Linked DNA regions of Arabidopsis thaliana. The protein of the gene in region 3 interacts with the protein of the main gene of each other region in a pairwise test. Each region holds a gene or a part of one and is shown on either strand. Other genes may lie near its edges.

What was found.
Region 1: the proteins of WRKY60 (region 3) and AT4G22720 interact in a two-hybrid assay, tested with the Arabidopsis thaliana proteins (one large-scale study listed by BioGRID).
Region 2: the proteins of WRKY60 (region 3) and AT3G27420 interact in a two-hybrid assay, tested with the Arabidopsis thaliana proteins (one large-scale study listed by BioGRID).
Region 4: the proteins of WRKY60 (region 3) and RVE1 interact in a two-hybrid assay, tested with the Arabidopsis thaliana proteins (one large-scale study listed by BioGRID).

The regions. Positions count from the first base shown.
Region 1 is NC_003075.7:11,935,049-11,939,682, reverse strand, and holds AT4G22720 (Actin-like ATPase superfamily protein), read right to left. Parts: upstream 2,742-4,634; 5' UTR 2,540-2,741; intron 2,243-2,539; 5' UTR 2,217-2,242; coding exon 1,659-2,216; intron 1,574-1,658; coding exon 1,418-1,573; intron 1,314-1,417; coding exon 966-1,313; 3' UTR 714-965; downstream 1-713. Other genes in the region: CYP706A2 (cytochrome P450, family 706, subfamily A, polypeptide 2), read right to left, coding at 3,065-4,634.
Region 2 is NC_003074.8:10,146,977-10,151,115, forward strand, and holds AT3G27420 (bromodomain testis-specific protein), read left to right. Parts: upstream 1-1,578; 5' UTR 1,579-1,701; intron 1,702-1,958; 5' UTR 1,959-1,972; coding exon 1,973-2,227; intron 2,228-2,297; coding exon 2,298-2,402; intron 2,403-2,488; coding exon 2,489-2,575; intron 2,576-2,660; coding exon 2,661-2,719; intron 2,720-2,842; coding exon 2,843-2,996; intron 2,997-3,088; coding exon 3,089-3,163; 3' UTR 3,164-3,444; downstream 3,445-4,139. Other genes in the region: AT3G27416 (uncharacterized protein), read right to left, coding at 395-916; AT3G27415 (uncharacterized protein), read left to right, coding at 399-926; AT3G27425 (ECA1-like gametogenesis related family protein), read left to right, coding at 4,082-4,139.
Region 3 is NC_003071.7:10,627,815-10,632,035, reverse strand, and holds WRKY60 (WRKY DNA-binding protein 60), read right to left. Parts: upstream 2,375-4,221; 5' UTR 2,225-2,374; coding exon 2,168-2,224; exon of another isoform or gene 2,074-2,167; coding exon 2,011-2,073; exon of another isoform or gene 1,807-2,010; coding exon 1,498-1,806; intron 1,415-1,497; coding exon 1,298-1,414; intron 1,211-1,297; coding exon 941-1,210; 3' UTR 623-940; downstream 1-622. Other genes in the region: AT2G25010 (Aminotransferase-like, plant mobile domain family protein), read right to left, coding at 1-185, 262-345; AT2G24990 (Serine/threonine-protein kinase Rio1), read right to left, coding at 3,737-4,120, 4,212-4,221. UniProt on the Arabidopsis thaliana protein: Transcription factor. Interacts specifically with the W box (5'-(T)TGAC[CT]-3'), a frequently occurring elicitor-responsive cis-acting element.
Region 4 is NC_003076.8:5,689,726-5,694,738, forward strand, and holds RVE1 (Homeodomain-like superfamily protein), read right to left. Parts: upstream 3,268-5,013; 5' UTR 3,200-3,267; coding exon of another isoform or gene 2,975-3,199; 5' UTR 2,711-2,974; coding exon 2,678-2,710; intron 2,266-2,677; coding exon 2,167-2,265; intron 2,086-2,166; coding exon 1,974-2,085; exon of another isoform or gene 1,907-1,973; coding exon of another isoform or gene 1,888-1,906; coding exon 1,826-1,887; intron 1,664-1,825; coding exon 1,349-1,663; intron 1,253-1,348; coding exon 710-1,252; 3' UTR 501-709; downstream 1-500. Other genes in the region: autophagy protein Apg5 family, read right to left, coding at 1-96; AT5G17305 (uncharacterized protein), read left to right, coding at 2,975-3,199. UniProt on the Arabidopsis thaliana protein: Morning-phased transcription factor integrating the circadian clock and auxin pathways. Binds to the evening element (EE) of promoters. Does not act within the central clock, but regulates free auxin levels in a time-of-day specific manner.

The DNA.
Region 1 (4,634 bases), on a different chromosome or scaffold from region 3:
TATCTTCAATCATTCGTCTTTTATTTTTTGGCATTTCAAGATGGAAGGAAGACTTTTGAAATACTTTTATCTTTTCGTTAACTACTTTGACCTTTTACTTGATTGTTTTACTAATAACTTTTGTCATTTTCTCCTTTTTCCCACGTCTTTTTGAATCTATATGATGTCTTTTAAAACTTTTGAAAATTTTATATTTAGTATGCATGCTTACTTACATAGTTACATGTATGAATGTTTTATCTAGAACTCTAGTCTCTAGAAGGATATCCACATTATGCTACAAAAGTAATATAAATATCGACCAAAATTTGTGTAGCCTATGTGTCAAGGTTCTGATTTACACTTGAAAATACGCAAATGAGTTCTAGATGATGGAAAAATGATACACTATATCTCGAATGTTTTTACAAAATTATTAGATAGAATTTATCTCTACGTCAAATTGAAATTTTTGACAACTTGTTGTTGCCTTTACAATTTTTATTAGCAAGATCAAGATTAGATCATTATGTATAAATTCTATTTACTCACTTTTCGTTTAATACGCAATGCCATAGAAGTGTCTTGTGATTAATTGAACCATCTCATACGTTCTACATTAAAAAGTTCTTACTTTTTACTTTTTAGTAGTGCTGTATTTTCACAGTTGTTTTTGTATGATTAAGGAAGACTAATGCACTAATCTCTCCACCATTCTCGGTAGAAATGTCGACTTTGAGATATCATATTTTTATTAAAGCAATAAAACAAATAGCGAAATGCAACACAAGAAACATTTGAACTTTTTACAAAGCTCACTTTGAAATTTGAAAGTGTTATTACATTCAAACCAAAAGATATCAATCATATAATTTGGCTAATAAAACACATTTAAAAGTCTTAACTACTTAGCAAAAACCAATTTATCGAGTAGAGAGAGATTCAATCTCAAATTTGATGAAAAATGAACAAAAATGGGGACAGACTCAATTCGCTGCAACTTTCTTATCCCCAAGTAGTACAGCTTCTTTCTCTCGCCACACCGCATGAACCTCGTCTGTGCGAAATCGTTGTGTAAAGGTAGAGTCTTCGATCGGTGTTTCAATACCATTAACAAACGCGAGTAGACCTGTGTAAGCGATCATAGCTCCATTATCGATGCAGTAACGGTCATCTGTTGCAAACAGCTTACCATCACGTTCTGAGCACATAGTCCTCATCATTTCCTGCAAACGCTCGTTACACCCAACACCGCCAACTATCAAAACGTCTTTCTTGTCACAATGCGCCATCGCTCTTTCTGTGATCTCAACCAACATCGCAAACACCGTCTCCTGCAAGATCAACAAACATGAATTCATGATATTACTCTTAAACAGTCCAAAATTTGCATTCATGTGACAAAATTCATCAGTTAAGAACCAAGTGATAGCCTTACTTGAAGGGAATAACACAAGTCTGCTGGTGTACACTCGTTATTCTTGAGCTTCTCCTCTGCAGTAGTTTCGATATAACTCAAGATTCCGCTGAACGATACATCCATACCTTTAACAGCATACGGAAGATCAATAAAGTTTTCTCCTTTCTTAGCAAGCTAGTAACAACACCAAAAACCGTGTTAACATTGTTCTTGAATCTTTCAAGAATTCAAATTTACTTTACTTTCAAATGAAATCTACCTGTTCAATGTTATAACCAGGGCTTGGATCATTAGAAAGCTTCAAGACTCTAGCAAACCGATCCAAACAATTACCAACAGCAATATCAATAGTCTCACCAAAAATCCGGTACCTACCTTCACTATAAGCAATCACCTGAGTGTTACCACCACTCACATACAACACAACAGGATCATCAGCTCCAGTAACTACTCTCCCCATCTCAATGTGAGCCACACAATGATTCACAGCAACAATTGGCTTTTTCCAAAGCTGTGACAATACTCTAACAACAATGGCTGAAACCTGCAACGGCGCTCCCATCCCGGGACCTTTCGTATAACAAATACAGTCGATTTCTTCAGGAGTAACTTGAGAAGTCTCTAAAGCTGATTTGACTAAAGGAAGAACATGGTCAAGATGGTGATGTGCAGTCTCTCTAGGAAGAAAACCATGACCAGGTGGTGTTATATACGTATGCCGAGGATTTGCTAAGATAGTACCGTCTAAAGTCACAATTCCAACTCCAATCTTGTTAGCTGATCCTTCGAAACCAATGGCTATCATCTTCTTCTTCATTTCTTTGATTTAAAAACAGAAACTTTCTACACAGAGAACAACAAATTCAGGACTAGGTGAAGTAAAAATCCAAACTTTATTCTGAATCAATTTGAACTAACACAAATTATAGCCTTAGACGTTGAAGATGATGAACAAAATTAATCCTTTCGTTGATTGGTATTGGTATTGAGAGAGACCCAACAAAGAGATTCGTATAACCTAGGTTTCGTTTCCTTAGATGAAAGAGCCCTAAACCCTAATCTAAACACAGAAACCAATTCCATTCGAGACACAACACACTGAACCCATGTACTGTTGTTTGATTTAAATCAAAAACTAACCTGAAGCTGCGTGATGGCCGGAATCAGAAGTAGCTCACAAGCTCAAAGCAAAACGAAATTAGCCAGAGAGTTTAAAGAAGAAAAAGACGGCGATAAAGTCGCCGGGAGAGAAACGACGATGTTGAGTTTCTAGACTGTGTAAACGGCGTCGTTTATAAATGGGCCTAGCCCAATAACGCATATTTTGCCGCTAAGAAGGACTCATTTAGTGTGACGTGAAGTATTTGTGATATAATTATACATTAATTAATTTAAATAATTACAATTTTAATTTGTAACCTTCATACTAATTTGTAATTTGTTGACCCAAGAATTTTAATCGACTTGCCAAAAATATAACTACAATATAGTTTTATAGCTTTGGCATCGACTATTAGGCGTTATTATTGTAAGTAAAACTTTGTTATATTAAATGTTATCAAAAATGTAACTTGACACATCTTTTATACAAAGCATCAAAACTCCAGACACAGATAAAGAAAAGTAAACTTTAAACAAGAAAACTCAATTCAACATCCTTCTTACTTAAGCTGTGTAGAGTTTTGGATCGGACAACCTTGGAACAGGAATAGCCACAAGTGGAGACTTCAACTTAAGAACAAGACCAAACTTCTCTTCAACCTCAAACTTCTGTCCTTGAGGAGCTTTCCAATCAAAAGAGTGAAGAAGTGAAGCAATGTTGAACAGAACAAGTCTCTCAGCCATGTTTATCGCCGCACAAATCCTCCTTCCTGACCCAAAAGGCAAATACTTAAAATCACCTCCATTGAAATCAAGCGAATTCTCCAAAAACCTCTCAGGTTTGAACTCGTTTGGTTCATCCCAATTCTTAGGATCTCTATGAATCGCCCAAACGTTGATGAAAATCTTGGAGTCTTTAGGCACAGTGTATCCCGCAACCACCGAGGTTTCGCTGTTTCTGTGAGGAACAAGAAGAGGAAGCGTAGGGTGAAGCCTAAGAGTCTCTTTCATAACCGCTTGTAGGTAAGGAAGCTTAGGTAAATGTGATTCCTCAACGATGTTGTCTTTGCCAACAACTTGGTCAAGTTCTAGTCGGATCTTGTTTAACACTTCCGGTCTGCTCACAATCTCTGCCATGGCGAATTCGGATGCGTTAACCGATGTGTCGACACCACCAAGAACCATATCCATGAGGAGAGACTTGACATGAGTCATGGACAGAGGAGCTTTCTCATCATCATCTTTAACTCTAAGTAAGTATTGCAAGAAATCTTCTTCTTCTTCGCTCTTCTTTCCCACCATTTTGACGTGACTCTCCATAACTCTATCGAACAAGAGATCAAGCTTCTTCACATGGCCTTTCATCTGCTTAACCAATCCTTGGAAATCGAATCTTGAGAACAACGGAAAGAAATCTGAGTAGTTTTGAATCCCTTCTATGTCGGAGATATCAGATATTAGGGTTTTGAGCTCGTTTCCTAAGCTCGTTCTCTCGTCTCCTTCAACAGTGGCGCCCCACATCATTCTTGTCACGACGTTGAAAATGGAAAGAAATATTTGCTCTCCGAGGTTGACTGGTGATCCTTCACGAGCCATTTCCGACATGTGGACAATGGTTTGTCGGGTTTCTTCCCGGCGAGTGGAGTAGGAAGCTTCGAGACTTGGGGTAGTGAACATCTTCATGACGCAGAGCTTACGAAGTCTCCTCCAATGGGTACCGTAAGGAGACCAGAGGATGTCTTCACCACCGTAAGTGTTGATCTTTCCGACTTCAGGGAGATCGTGGTTGGCGAAAGTGATGTCGTGGGTTTTGAGAACCTCGCGAGCCATGTCAGGGGAAGAGACGACGATCGCAAGTTTGGAACCGAGGTGGATCTTCATGAGAGGGCCATATTTTAGGGTTAGGGCTTGGAATTGCGTGTGGAGGACGTCAGAGTTTAGGAACGGGAGGTTTCCGACGATAGGAAGTGGCCAAGGTCCCGGAGGCAGTGGAGGTTCCTTTTTGGACTTGGACTTCCCCTGAATCCATAAGTAGCATACAACGGCCAAGAGAGCAGCGACGGCCAGCATCACGGAGCTGTACGGCTCCTCAGTGTTGAGGACCTGCGAGAGGTTGATGTTAGACTTAGACGAC
Region 2 (4,139 bases), on a different chromosome or scaffold from region 3:
TGTTGATTTAGACTATAATTTGTAACGCTATACCTAATATATGTGTTGCTCCCCATTGTTGTCCTTAAGGAGATGCTATATACATATAGATACTAGCCATGCAAGGATCATTAGAAAATGAATGTGATTAAATTACAAATAGACCCTTCGAACAATGAGAATCTCATGGTTATTGTTATAATGACTAAAGATTACATAAACATAAATAACACAAACTAAACATTTGTAACAACATCAAATATCCTAACCTCCGTACTATGCACGAATTTAACGTGTGAAAAATCGGGCCGGAGAACAAACTGTTTTAAAATAAACCCAAAAATTGAAATATGAAACGTATAATATAATCTTAAATGTAGTATGAAATCTCCAAGAAAATACTAGTAATATTCAATCATATGAAGAAAAGCCATGCAACGGCTGCGAGAACAGAGCCCGAGACAGAGATCACAAGCGATGAGGCTCCTGCCGCAGGAGCCGAAGCTTCAGGGCCGTCACTGGCGCCAGTTCCGTCATCGGAAGATGGAGACATTTCTGGAGTCGGAGCTGGCGGAGAGGAGGCGGTAGGTGCGTCAGAGGAGCTGGTAGGACCTTCGGAAGAATCACCGGAGCTTGAGTCAGGGCTTGAAGCCGGAGTTTTGGCTGATGATGACTTTGGAGATGGGGAAGATGGGGAAGGGCTTGGAGTTCCGGTGGAATTTTTCTTGGCCATGGTTGGAGCAGCTGTAGGCGGTGAGGTTGGGGCGGAGGCCGTGGGTGATTTTGGGGATGCTGCGGCGGCGGGAGAAGGAGAGGTAGAGTTCTTTTCGCCGTTGGCTTTCGGTGCGTTTGCCGGTGTTGGAGGATCGGCGGCCAAGACGGCGGTGATGGCCAAGGCAGCCACGGCGAGAGATAGGAGTTTAAGTGTCATTGTCATTTTGTGGTGAATGTGAATTGCTTTTGTGGTGATTAATTATGTATTTTTGTGGTTTATGATTAGTGCTAAAAAAGATTAAAAAGAAGAAAAGAGTTATTTTTGAGAGATTAAGGAAGAGGTAAAATTTAATTTATAGGGAATTCTACAGATTTGACCAAAGTTTTGGTTGACCGGGTCCATCGGAACTTGTCTTAAAATTTTATTGGTTTGATCTTTTGTTAGTAAAAAGAGAACATGTGGTAATGATAATTCCCAACTTTCAAGAAACAATTGAGAACACGTGACTATTGAGATTGATTTTGTGGTAACTAAATGAGCACTGTTTCAACAAAAGTTAATTTTAATTTAAGCTATACAAAATACTAAGAATTAAAACTTGATTAACGTACCAGTTAGTCAATAACTCAATATTAAGTGGAAGTTCAATTGTTCAATACAAATTCATACACGTAACTGAAGAAGCACATTTAAAAGTCAACGAAACATTTACATTTCGTAAACTAAAAATAAATAAATCTACTGCAATCTTGTGAATGAGTCTAATTAGAGATGAGAAAGTAAACTGAGCCCAAAATAAATAAGGCCCATTTAAAATGTAAGGCCCATGATAATACTCATAAGCTTTGTAATCCACGACGCACGTGTTCCATAATGGCTAACATAAAAACGGCAAGCAGTCTACTTTTTTGTCGTTATCACTTTTTAACCCTTTTCGGCTTCTATCCGTCGATTCAAATCGGCGGCAGTTCCCAGCGACATTAATCTCCGGCGAGACAGTTTACTCGGTGAGTTTCGCGGCTACATAGTTTTTTTGAACTTCCTTGAATTGTTCATTATTTCGGGATATAAACGGAATTTGCTTTTCCCCGATCGTCGTATCACTGTAGAGAAACCGATACTTGATTGGTTCTTCGCTATTTTTCTCTATTTTGATATGCAATTCGATTTCACACTCTCAAATTCATAATCCTAGTTTGTATAGTACTCTATCTCGTGAAATTGTCTGCTTTTATCGATTAAGGCGTTGTTGCGTACATTGCAGTGTTTATTGAAGCTATGCCTAAAAGAACAGCAGAAGCGTGTCCATCATCTGAAATCCAAAGAAGCAGAGGAGATACTTTTGGTAGTTACAGATCTCAAGTAGCTGAGCTTTTGTCTCTAGGTGAGAGGATCTCACATCATGATCAACAAGAAGCCAATGAGAGGCATTCTGAGAGTGTTATAGGAGCTGGGATGTCAAATGTTGAGAAAGATAATTTGAATGTTTTGTTAAGGCAGTGTGTGAGGAATCTAAGTCCAGAAGTTGATGAGGTACTTCAGAGTTCTACTTCTAATATCGTATGATGAAAGAGTACTCAATATTATTGCAATTCGTTTGCAGATGCAGGAATGTGTACGCTCTCTGTATCTAATTTCTCAGCTAGGGAACAAATGTCAGTCATCGTCGCCGAGCGATTTTGTTCCTGAAGAAACCGGAGGAGCGAGAGTTCGTCTTTTACTTATATGTTCTTAATCCTCTTGCTTGAAACATACTTGTATATCTTTCATTTTGTTTTCTCAAAATTCCTTCAGGAAGATGATATTCAACTACTTCTGAGGTCTGACTCTGATATGGTCAAGAACATAACGTCACAGTATTCAAATGTTCTGCTGTCCAAAGTAATGTTCCACATTAGTATATCTAGCTTGCAGAAAGATCAATCATCTAATATAGCTAACTTCTGCATATGTTTTGTTTTGAAAGCTGGACAATATGCAGCAGGAACTCGAGAGACTTCTTGACGATGTGGTGGCGACTTGCAGGTATAGTGTGGTCTAATTGATCTCTAGTTTGTGCCATTATATAATCAGTTAAAGAGTTTTCCTTATGAGAACATTCTTTGTTGGTGGTTACTTATGTGTTAGTTGTTAACTCTTTTAAAACAGACCTATGACTCGTGGTGAAATTCGGGAGCTTCAGAAATCGATCAAGGAGCTGCCTGAGAGGAATCTCAACCGCGTCGCTGAAATAGTAGGAAATCATTGCATAGCATCTGGCAGAGATTTCAACGATAAGGTTATCGTCAACCTTGATCAGGCGGTAAGACACAATCCGTAGTTAATTGATTCTCTGGTTCCGATGAGTATTAATGGAAAACTAACAGCATTTCAACCAAACTGTGTTTTCTTCAGGACAAGGTCATGTTATGGAGATTGCATTTCTATGTAGGAGCAGTCAAGAGGCCCAGAAGCTCGCTCCCTAGCTAACTTTGGCTGTATATATATGGACTGGGATGTTGAGATGGTGTGATGGGCTAAACCGGTTTAATATATTTCCTACTTTTTTTGTTTTCCTGATTAGTCCGGTTAAGCCGTGTAGTAGTTGGTCTTACATGGACGGTTAACAAATGAAAATCGGTTCTGATTTGGTAAGACTTTGTCCTTCGTCCCATGAAGATTTCTCTAACAAAAAATCATTGACCACATCATGACATGAATCCAAAGAAAACACATAGTTTGCTAATGTGTCTGTTAGACGATTAATCTCTTTAGATAGTGTGTATCAATTTCATTATTTTTGTTTTAATCGTCTGTCATTGTATCAGTTTCGGTTAGAAACTAAGATAGGGAAAATATTTCTCGTCCTATAAGATGTTTTACCTAAGCACAAAAAATCATTAAAACGGTATTCAAGACTTTTAAATAAATCAAACAAAAACAAATTTTGATTTCAAAGTAAAACGAAAAAAAAAATCGTAACATGAAAAAAAAAGATATTTTTATTTTATTTTATTTGGAAATAAAATCTGAATAATTATTTTATGACAGTCAATAAAAAGCTATGAAATATTTCTAGAGCTTTACTAATGGGGGAAGTTTGAACTAGCTGCTTGATATTAATATAATAATTTGATTATCAACAAAAAAGTTATATTTAAGAATTAAGATTGATATATGTTAAACTTTTGGTAATTTTGTTCTAAAACCAATATTCTTTGGTTGACTTGACTATTTTATTAATATATTAGTATAAATTGAGAATGTGAATCTCCTTTCCAAACTATTCTTATAGGTTTTCTATATATATAATTTCCTACATAGCATCTAACAGATCCCCGAAAAAAGATCTCAACTACATACAATACCAACCCACAACAAAAATTTGCTTTTTCGATCTTCTCAAAAATGAAACTAAAACAAACCAAAGTGATGTTTTTCTTGTTAGTCCTAATCTCTGCATTAA
Region 3 (4,221 bases):
AAAGTATTGGTTTCTCTTCTCCATCGCTCAACAAGTGCAGAGATCAGTGAATTGTTTAAACTCATTGGACCGATTTTGCGAAAGTAACCGAAACCAGCTTTGTCCACGAGGTTAATTTGTTCATCAGTGAGTTTCCATTGATGTAGCAATGAAGTGTGTTCTTGACAACGAAGTAGACCTCGTTCCTAAGGTAAGTAAGGGGAAATAAGATTAACCCTAAATTCAAAATCTGAAATTTAGCAAGGGAATTAAGAAAAAAACCTGTCCTTCCCAAACAGCAGAAGAAACATGGAGGTCTTGCTCGTATAGGACAGATGGATCAACTGGTCCGACATCAATATCCATGTCGATAACTTACTCAAAATCAGCGAAAACTAAGATTACATAAACAAATTTTTGTCAAATTCTCAAAACACGAAACTTTTGATTCTTCAATTTGGGACTAAACACAGATGAAGAAGAAGAAGAAGTTGGGATTGGAAGCTAACCGTAACCTAATTTGGACTCGGTTCATAATTTTTCTTCTTGGCTTTTTATAGCTGTACCGGTTATTTTGGTTTGGTTCTCTTAAACCGACTCTGTTTTTCGTGGTTTTACTCTGTTTCCGGGTTTCTCTGTTTCTTTTATGTCTGTAATGGCATCACATTCTTCTCTAATGGAAGTTAATACAAACAACTGAACAAGATAACATTGGAAGATACATAAACTGTCGAAGCAGCGTCAATCTACCATACTTACACCGAGCTATAACAAAACTCTTTCAACATAAGATAAAATGGGGGTGACCCTTTTTGGATACTTAGATTTGATGTAATTATATACACACACATTAAAATTGACATCTATGCCTCCTAATCAAGATCAAACAAATCTTTACCTTTTTACTAGGAATGAGCAACAAAATAGAACAAAACAGAAATATACATGTTCTAGAGAACTTTCATGTTCTTGAATGCTCTATCAATCTCCCGGAAATAGCAGTCGCAAGAGCTGCAGTGAACTTAGGATCTTTGGTCAACGAAGAAGCCATTTGTTGCACCAAAACCTCTTGAATCGTCCCTCTCTCTTTCTTTTCCTCAACTGGTTCAAGCCCACCTTGAACTAGATCAAGTTTCACTGTCCTGGACACACTTGCATGTGGTCCGGTGTGGTTATGTGTCCCTTCGTAAGTGGCTACCAAGAAAGATGGATCTTCTGCACTTCGTTGCACCTAAACAAGCGCACACACAACTAGGGAATTTAATCAGACAGCAAGATGATATCGAAGAACTCTTTAACAAAGTTTAAACCAAAGTACCTTCTTCTTGACTAGACAAGACGGTGAAAACGAGCATCTGAAGTAAGCTCTAGGAGATGGATTATCTCTCGTAATCTTTTGCCCGTATTTCCTCCATTGATATCCATCTTTCACAGTCTACAAGTAACGTATATCCACAAAACATTCGTTAACAAATCAATACACTCAAAGAACGATACTTGTAGTAGAAATCTCCTTACCAAGCTTGTGTCAGACTTCTCAGCAGCAAAGTAAGCGGTTGAAACCGTCGCTTTATCGTTGGTGATGTTCTCGATTGGTCCGAGACTGAGTCCAATTGGGGAGCTAACAAACTCATCAAGTTCTTGTTTTCGTTTCCCCGTTAGCTGTTTGTTCTGAAAGTTAACACTTTCAGGACTCTTTCGACTCTGCAACTCCTCCATAAGATTATTAAGAGCATAGTACTTCTCACAGACTCTTGCTAACATTTCGGTTAGCTTCTTGTTCTCCGAATTAACCCGGTTTATTTCATCTTGTAGCATATTTCTCTTCTGTGTAAAATGAAAATCACCATTACCAAACTAAGCTGTAAGACAAAGCTTTGATTTGTTCAACTTTTGAGCATCACCGATCTAAACAAACTATTCAATGTCTAAATCAGATATGAGAACTTGATCAACCTAATCCATTCACTCATAGTCAAAAATTTTGAGGTCAAAGTATTGCACACCAAAGTGTTCGATGAAAGAACTAACCTCATCTTTCACTAACCATTTCTTCTCTACAACTTTAGAAGCTGAAGCCGAGACTTCTCTTTTCTAAATCAGGCAATAAAATATATATGAACACCACGAATAATCACCACAACCTCGAAAATTGAAGTGAAATTTTCGAAGAAATTGAAAAACTCACCGGAAGTTTACCGGAGAAATGAAGGTCGAACGGATTGGTGTTGGGATCATAGTCCATAAATTTAGGTTCACAGGAGCCAATTTAATGTAACGTGAGATTATAGCGAAGACCAAATTCATAATTGCTAAGAGATTTGGTCTCCTTTGGTTTTATAGTAACTAGTAAGTGGAGAGAGTGTAATAACTTGTCAATTATGAGAAGGTTGACGATTTGGGTGGAAAATGAGGGTCTCCTTTCTAATTCTAAAAAAATTATTATAAATCTTTTACAATTCTTGTAAATTCTCATAAACTTTCTTTAAAACCTTTAAAAGTTTTTAAAACTCTTTGTAAAATCGTTTTAAAACTTTTATTAAATCTTTTAAAAACTTTTGTAAAATTTTTATAAAATCTTTTGTAAATCATTTTAAAAACATTTATAAAATCCTTGTGTGTAATTCTAATTGTGCCAAAATTATAATGTGTATTATGCATATGATAGTGATTGAACATAGAAACAAAAATATTGGAAAAAAACAATACTAATGAAATGTGTAAACAAAAATTGCAAGAAAACTATTTAATTTAATACGTATTGACAAAAAGCAAGTTGTGTTTAATACGTTGGATTAAATTTGTTGGCTTGCATCGTAAATACTAAATGCGTGTCCTAAAAAATTAAAAAGGTTAGGTGTTAAATCGTAGTCGAATTGTTATGTTTTGTTGTAATCGGAGAAAACAAGTGTAAAGATGGATCAAAAATCAACAATTTCGGCGGATGTCCCATGTCGAAGAAAAATGAGTACTTTACATTAAGTTGCATTGTAAGATCCAGACCAACTTTCGCTTGACTTGACCCATTGACTATGCCCTGGAGGTTGGCATGTTTAATTTTGTCTCATATTTTTGTTTACTTAATCCTACCTACATTTAGTTGCATTAGTTAATTATGTCAGCTAGGCAAAATAAGATTTCGTTTCCCTTTTTTTTATGTTCATTAAGTTTGAAAGAAAATCATTATTTTTTGTTTTGTCATCTTTTTTATTAATATTATAAAATAAAAATATATTTTCCGATCTTACAAAACCGGCAGAAAACAAAGATATCTTCGAAAACATAGTTTAAAAGAGATAATCAAAGCTCCAAAAGAAAGAGAAAACACGTATTAAGATATAAACTATGGAAACAGAGGCTTAAGAAGAAAAGCTCATAAACACTAAACTGTATAAAATCAAGAACTCATTAAACAAAGAAAAAATGTTGTAAATAAACTAGTTGCAGGATTAGAATTTTCATACTATAAGCCAACAATCTCAAAACTTGAGTTGATAAATTTAGACACAACCATTATTCGAATTGTCAAGTTGGTTAGGGATGTGAGGAAAGGAACAGAAATTTGAATCCTATTCTTGAAACAGCAGCAAACCAATTTCGGGCTCTATAATAAAGTCATACTATGAATATTACAAGAACTTGCTATTTTTGGAAATATAGAGAGCTTTGGGTCCATACTCGATTTCCCAGAATTTGACACAAAATTTCAAAATATAAATAAAAATACAAGTTGGGGTGTCAAAACTTCTAACTCGGATTAACGAGTCTTGTGTGGTTTAGAGACTTTCTTCTTTCGCTTCTTGACAGATTTGGGTGTCTTCGTCTTCCTAGACTCTCGTTTCTCCTCTTTCACTTTCTTCTTGTGCTCTTTCCTTGCAGCTTTCTTGTCTTCATGACCCAATTCTTCTTCACTCTCTTCTTCCTCACTTCCTTCTTCACTTTCTCCGTCTTCTTCTTCCTCTCCTTCCTCTTCTTTCTCTTCATCATTCACCTCTATTTTCTGCTCTTCTATTTTAGGAAGAGCATCCTTAAGCCCCGTTATCGTTTGGTATAGCATGTCTCCTGTGTCCTGCCCGCTTGTTATCTTAGCCACGTCAGCCTCAGGGTTGTTCACAGCATCCAGAGATTTCGGTATGTATGACTGAACATCAATAACAAACCAGTAAGATTAAGATTATTCTACAGACAACTTCACATATCAGTTCACACAACTGGATACACTCTTAACTAACCTTCATGAAT
Region 4 (5,013 bases), on a different chromosome or scaffold from region 3:
AGGAGGAGCAGGGTGAGAAGCGACGTCGGATTTGTGGAGATGAATCTGCAGAGGAATTGCTCCTTCCCATACATACTTGACCGCTTCCTTCGCCATTCTCTTCCCCGTCACACCTTCTCACGCTCGCTCGCTTCACAAAAAAAACTCAGCTTTCAAAACGACGCTGTTTCTGTATGACGTCATCTTCTCTTGCGTCTTTATGTGGTATTAATAAGGCGTACGTTAGACACTGCTTAATCTGTTGGTGGCTAACGTGAAAGGGTGTTAACCGGTCTAATTTGGTCTGGTCAAATTCTATCAAAATTTCAGGTTAGAGTTGGTTTCCGAATCGGTTCGGTTATTTGTTGGGTTTGAACTTTGAACACACACTTGTTCAGTTGGTGGTAACCTCACTGTTTTTCTTCTTTGCCTTCATTTCAAAGCAAACTCTTTACCAAACCTAATTTAATCGGAGATATTGAAGAGAGACACCTGAAACTTGCTTTTGTTGAACCATCAATTAAGAAAGATCTCATAATCATTAGATTTAACTGTATAAATTGTACACGAGTTTTACAGTTACAAACTTTTGCAGAAAATTTTAGCCTAGAGAACAAACACCTCAAGAGAAAACAATGAAACAACAACAAAAATTACATTGATGAAAACTTAGAAAGTCGAATGAATAGTAAATTTAAAGTCTCTTCTTTAGGGTACGTAAGAAAATGTGTTATAAGTGGAGATGAATCTCATGCTCTTCTTCTTCTGTTACCATCTTTCTCTTCTTGTATGGACCAAATCCTCTTGAATTTGACTCGGAGTTTGTTCTTCTGAGCTCAGAAAATGCAGACCTCTCACTTGGTTTAAACTCCCATTGACATAGCATTGTTTCGGGTTCTGTGGTCTTTTCCGTGTGTCCCGTATCATCCACCGAACCAGTGTTTGATCCAGTCGATGATCCTTCGTTTTGGACAGCCTTTCCTGAATCCAAACATCTATTTTCCACATCTTCTTGCTTAAGAGGGACTTGTATCCAGCAGCTCAAGAGTTCTTCTTGTGAGTTTCTTATTATGGGTAGTGTCTTGGATGATGAGAGTTTCCGTGGTAATGGCTGAATTGGGGATTTACAATATGTTGAAGTTGTTAGAGAAGAGGACATGCCTGAATCAGATACCAAAACTGTCTTCCCAAAGAGTTTAAGACTTTGCTTCGTTGGTTCCTTGATCGAGCTCTCCCTGTTTAAGAGTCTCTCACTAGGAAACAACTCCAGCTTCTGTACAAATTGATTAAACCAAGAATATTAAGCATTAAGCATCTAACAGCAGGTATTGCTGTTAAGTATAAATTCGGTTTTGTTTATGTCAAGTACCAGAGTCTCAAGCTCTTCAGGTGCATTTGCAGTGGTTGTAAGAGCAGCTGGTGGTGATGCAGAAGAAACTGGGGACAAGCTTCGATTGGGTGAACTCGAATCAAGGGAACACAATGCTTCTGATCCAACAGTGGACAACACAGAGGTTGGAGATTGAGTATCACGTTCTGAGGGAGAAACCGATCTACTTGTTTGATCTGCCTCGTTCCCAAACTTACGAGGGTACGGATGCGCTGGCTTTCTCTTGGGACGAGGAGGAGGTATTACAATCGGCTCTACTGAGCTCCCATCACCTCCAGTTGCTTCTCGAGCAACCTGTGTGAATACAACAGAACAAAGCCAAGTCAGAACACAAGTCTCCAAACAATGTATGTATAATGATTCCTTATTTATGCAGAACTTAGGTTTGCTACAGAGATTAGACTGATACTTTCTTTGAACAAGGGTAAAGATATAATAGCAAATAAGTGTATAAACCTTAGAGAAAAACTTCTGAGCATGGCTTCGAATCTGAACTGCGGTCTTTGAGCCCACATGTTCTGTTAGTGAAACAAACATATATTTTTGAGGGTCCAGGTAAGGCCATAACTCAGTAGCAAGAGATATTACTAAATCATTAATTTACCTTCTATTCGTCTCCAAGCTCGCCCGTATAATTTCAAGGCTTCAACAAACTTCTTGTGCTCTTCATCTGTCCATCTCTCTCTCTCTTTTGTTATCGTGTATGGCTTCCGTACCTAAGTAAGAAAAGATGAACTGAGCCACAGATCTTCACTTTACATAACAATATTTGACATTTGATGTTAAAAGAAACAAACCTTGGGTGCATAGTCATTTCCCCCAAAACTTTGGTCATTGAATTGTATCTGCTTGTCTGCAGTTTCTTCATCTCTATTCCTCAAAGAAGCGTTGGTACCCTAAAGCCATCATCAAGCAAAACGACTTTAGGAAACATCATTTTAAGGACTATGACACAAAGTGGCATTGGATTATTTACTTTCTTCTTCAGTTTCTCAATGAACATTCATTCACAAAGTCCAACTAATTAAACTCGATTTACATATCCTAATCACAAAATTCCAACACAGTCGATTCCATCTCAAGGATTCAAATGAATGTAGTTGCAACACACAAATCTAGAGAGAACTTATAGCTCAAAAGAAACAAGAGTCTGCAAATGAATTGCAACGAACTTGCTTTAACTCTAAGCTTTATTACTTAAATGTCCGTATACAGTATTTTAAACTCATAGATTCATTTGAGACCAGACCTGAATAAAGCAGAAACAAAACAAAAAAAGTGGATAAAAATCAAATTTTGAGACCAGACCTGAACATTTGCAGTCAACGGAGACGACGCCATAACTTCCCGGATTAAGATCTCGGCGGAGGAAAACAAAAAAAAACTCGAAAGGTGTGGAACACAGAAAAGGAAACACCAAGATAAATTCGCGAATCTAGACTTGAAAAAATCAGCTTAATTTCCTCTGTTCTCCGTCTGTTTCTATAGATCCCATAAATTGATTCGGTTTACTTAGGCAACAACAAACGATTTGCTTCTGAAATCAGAACCAATCTAAGCTTCCACCTTCCGGAAAAAAAACTTCCAGCAAACCAGAGATTTCTTATGTTCGATAAAGGAAAAGAGAAAAAAACTCTCGCTGGAAATCTTGCCGCAAATAAGGATAAGAAGAAGGTCGGAAATGAAACTCTCAGAGAAACTCCGAGAAGTTTTGGTAGCCGGAGTAAAGAAAAAGACAAGCTTTCTGATTCGGCGGAAGAAGAAGAAAACAGAGAGAAAGAAGAAGAAGAGAAGAGTTTGGGGTCTGTGAAGGAGGAAGAAGGGAATTAGGGGGGTGAGAAAATAGGGAAGACAAAAAGGAGGGTGATGCCACGTCAGCTTCTGCTATGTGCGCTTTTTCCCAATTTTTAAAAAATAAAAATAATAATTCTTATTGGTTTTCCATGGAACGCTCGAGAAACAGATGGAAAATCTTGTGGCTCACGTTCAATGTCCATCTTTGCCACGTGTCGCTCTTTCTCATATTCTTCATCTTCTTTTTTTGCAACAAAATTTGTACTAGATTTATTCATTTATCTCTTTGAAAAATCAAATATTTAATTTTTTAAAATGAATCTACTTGTTTTAAAACAGTTAGATTTGGTACTTCGATTATCACTGTATGTATTTATTTAATTCCCCTACTTTTCCTTTCCTTTTTTGACATCATTTCAATTGGATAATCTTTTAATATAAAATATCAGGAAATATAATATTTATGTAACAAAAAAGATTTTGCTGGACGGAGAAATGTGAGCCACCAGAAGATACTTTTAAAGGAAAATATGGAAAGGCGTACTCTCGAGAGTATGACTTCTTAGCTTACTCGCTTTTCATTGGTTCCACTACATGAGATAAAAATGTAAATTTGCGGGATAAATTCATTTTCTTTTCTTAACTATATCTCTATTGATCCATATATGGGTGGACATATTCCAAAATTTATGATTGGTTCTTTGGATCCGGATCCATAGGATTTGTTTGCGGAACCATCCAAATCCATATCTATCAAAAATACTTCAAAATAATTAAAACAGTAATATATAAAACTATAATAAATAAAAAGTTAAAAATATATTTTGATTTATTTACATAAACTCTTTATGAAAATATTTATTAGGGTATTTTAAAAAGCTACATATGAAAACATATCCGAAGTGGATATCTTAATCAAAATCAAATTATTCGAATTCGAAAACTCTTAACATTTTATTTTTGGACCAGATCAGAAGATTTTATTATACACTTTGTCCAATCTTAGAAAACATAGTCTATCCATTTTTTATTTTGTGGGGTTCTACTCTTTTTTCTCCATTCTTCCATATATGAACACAATATTTGATAGTAAATTTATATATAAATTATAACCATCATAATATCTAAATTCAGATTTTAAAAAAGATTTCTGTCTAAACACATTTTTGCAGGACACTAAAATGGTTTATTTTATGAAATGAGATCCACAAAATGGGTTATTCAAATTTGGACTGATATTAAGATTTGTTGATGATGCTTCTATACTAGCAATAGCAAGCCTCATACAAATGCAATTGATAACGTATCCTACCATGATTCCGATATACATATAAAATTTGGACCTCTAAATTTTCCTATATTCTTTTTCATGTCAAACTTATATGTTTAGTTGGGAAAAATATTGCACAGAATTTTACATAGTTGAAATGGTTTTGAATCACAATCTAAATAAATGAAATTCCAAAATCAAGTGAAAGTAGAATGAGATACTATTTTTGGTTCTTTTTCGTTTTGTCGTTGTCTTTGTTTCATATTTTACGAAAAAACGAAAACCATAAGTTAAATATCTTCTGCCTCTATATAAAAACATGGTGGGGGTCTATCCATAACGTAAGTCTACGTATACATACCATATAATATAATATATACAGATACGAATCTATCTATGATATTTATAATTAGTTTCAACTTTCTCGAATTAATATGATTATCCATCGTCCAGGTCGTCATCAATTTTCACAAATGTGTAGATATTTTATTGAAATCATTGTTAAGCACATAATTTAATATACTCCTCAAATTGTAAAAGTCATCCTCGGTGGAAGTGAAAGTAATTACACTTTAATTTA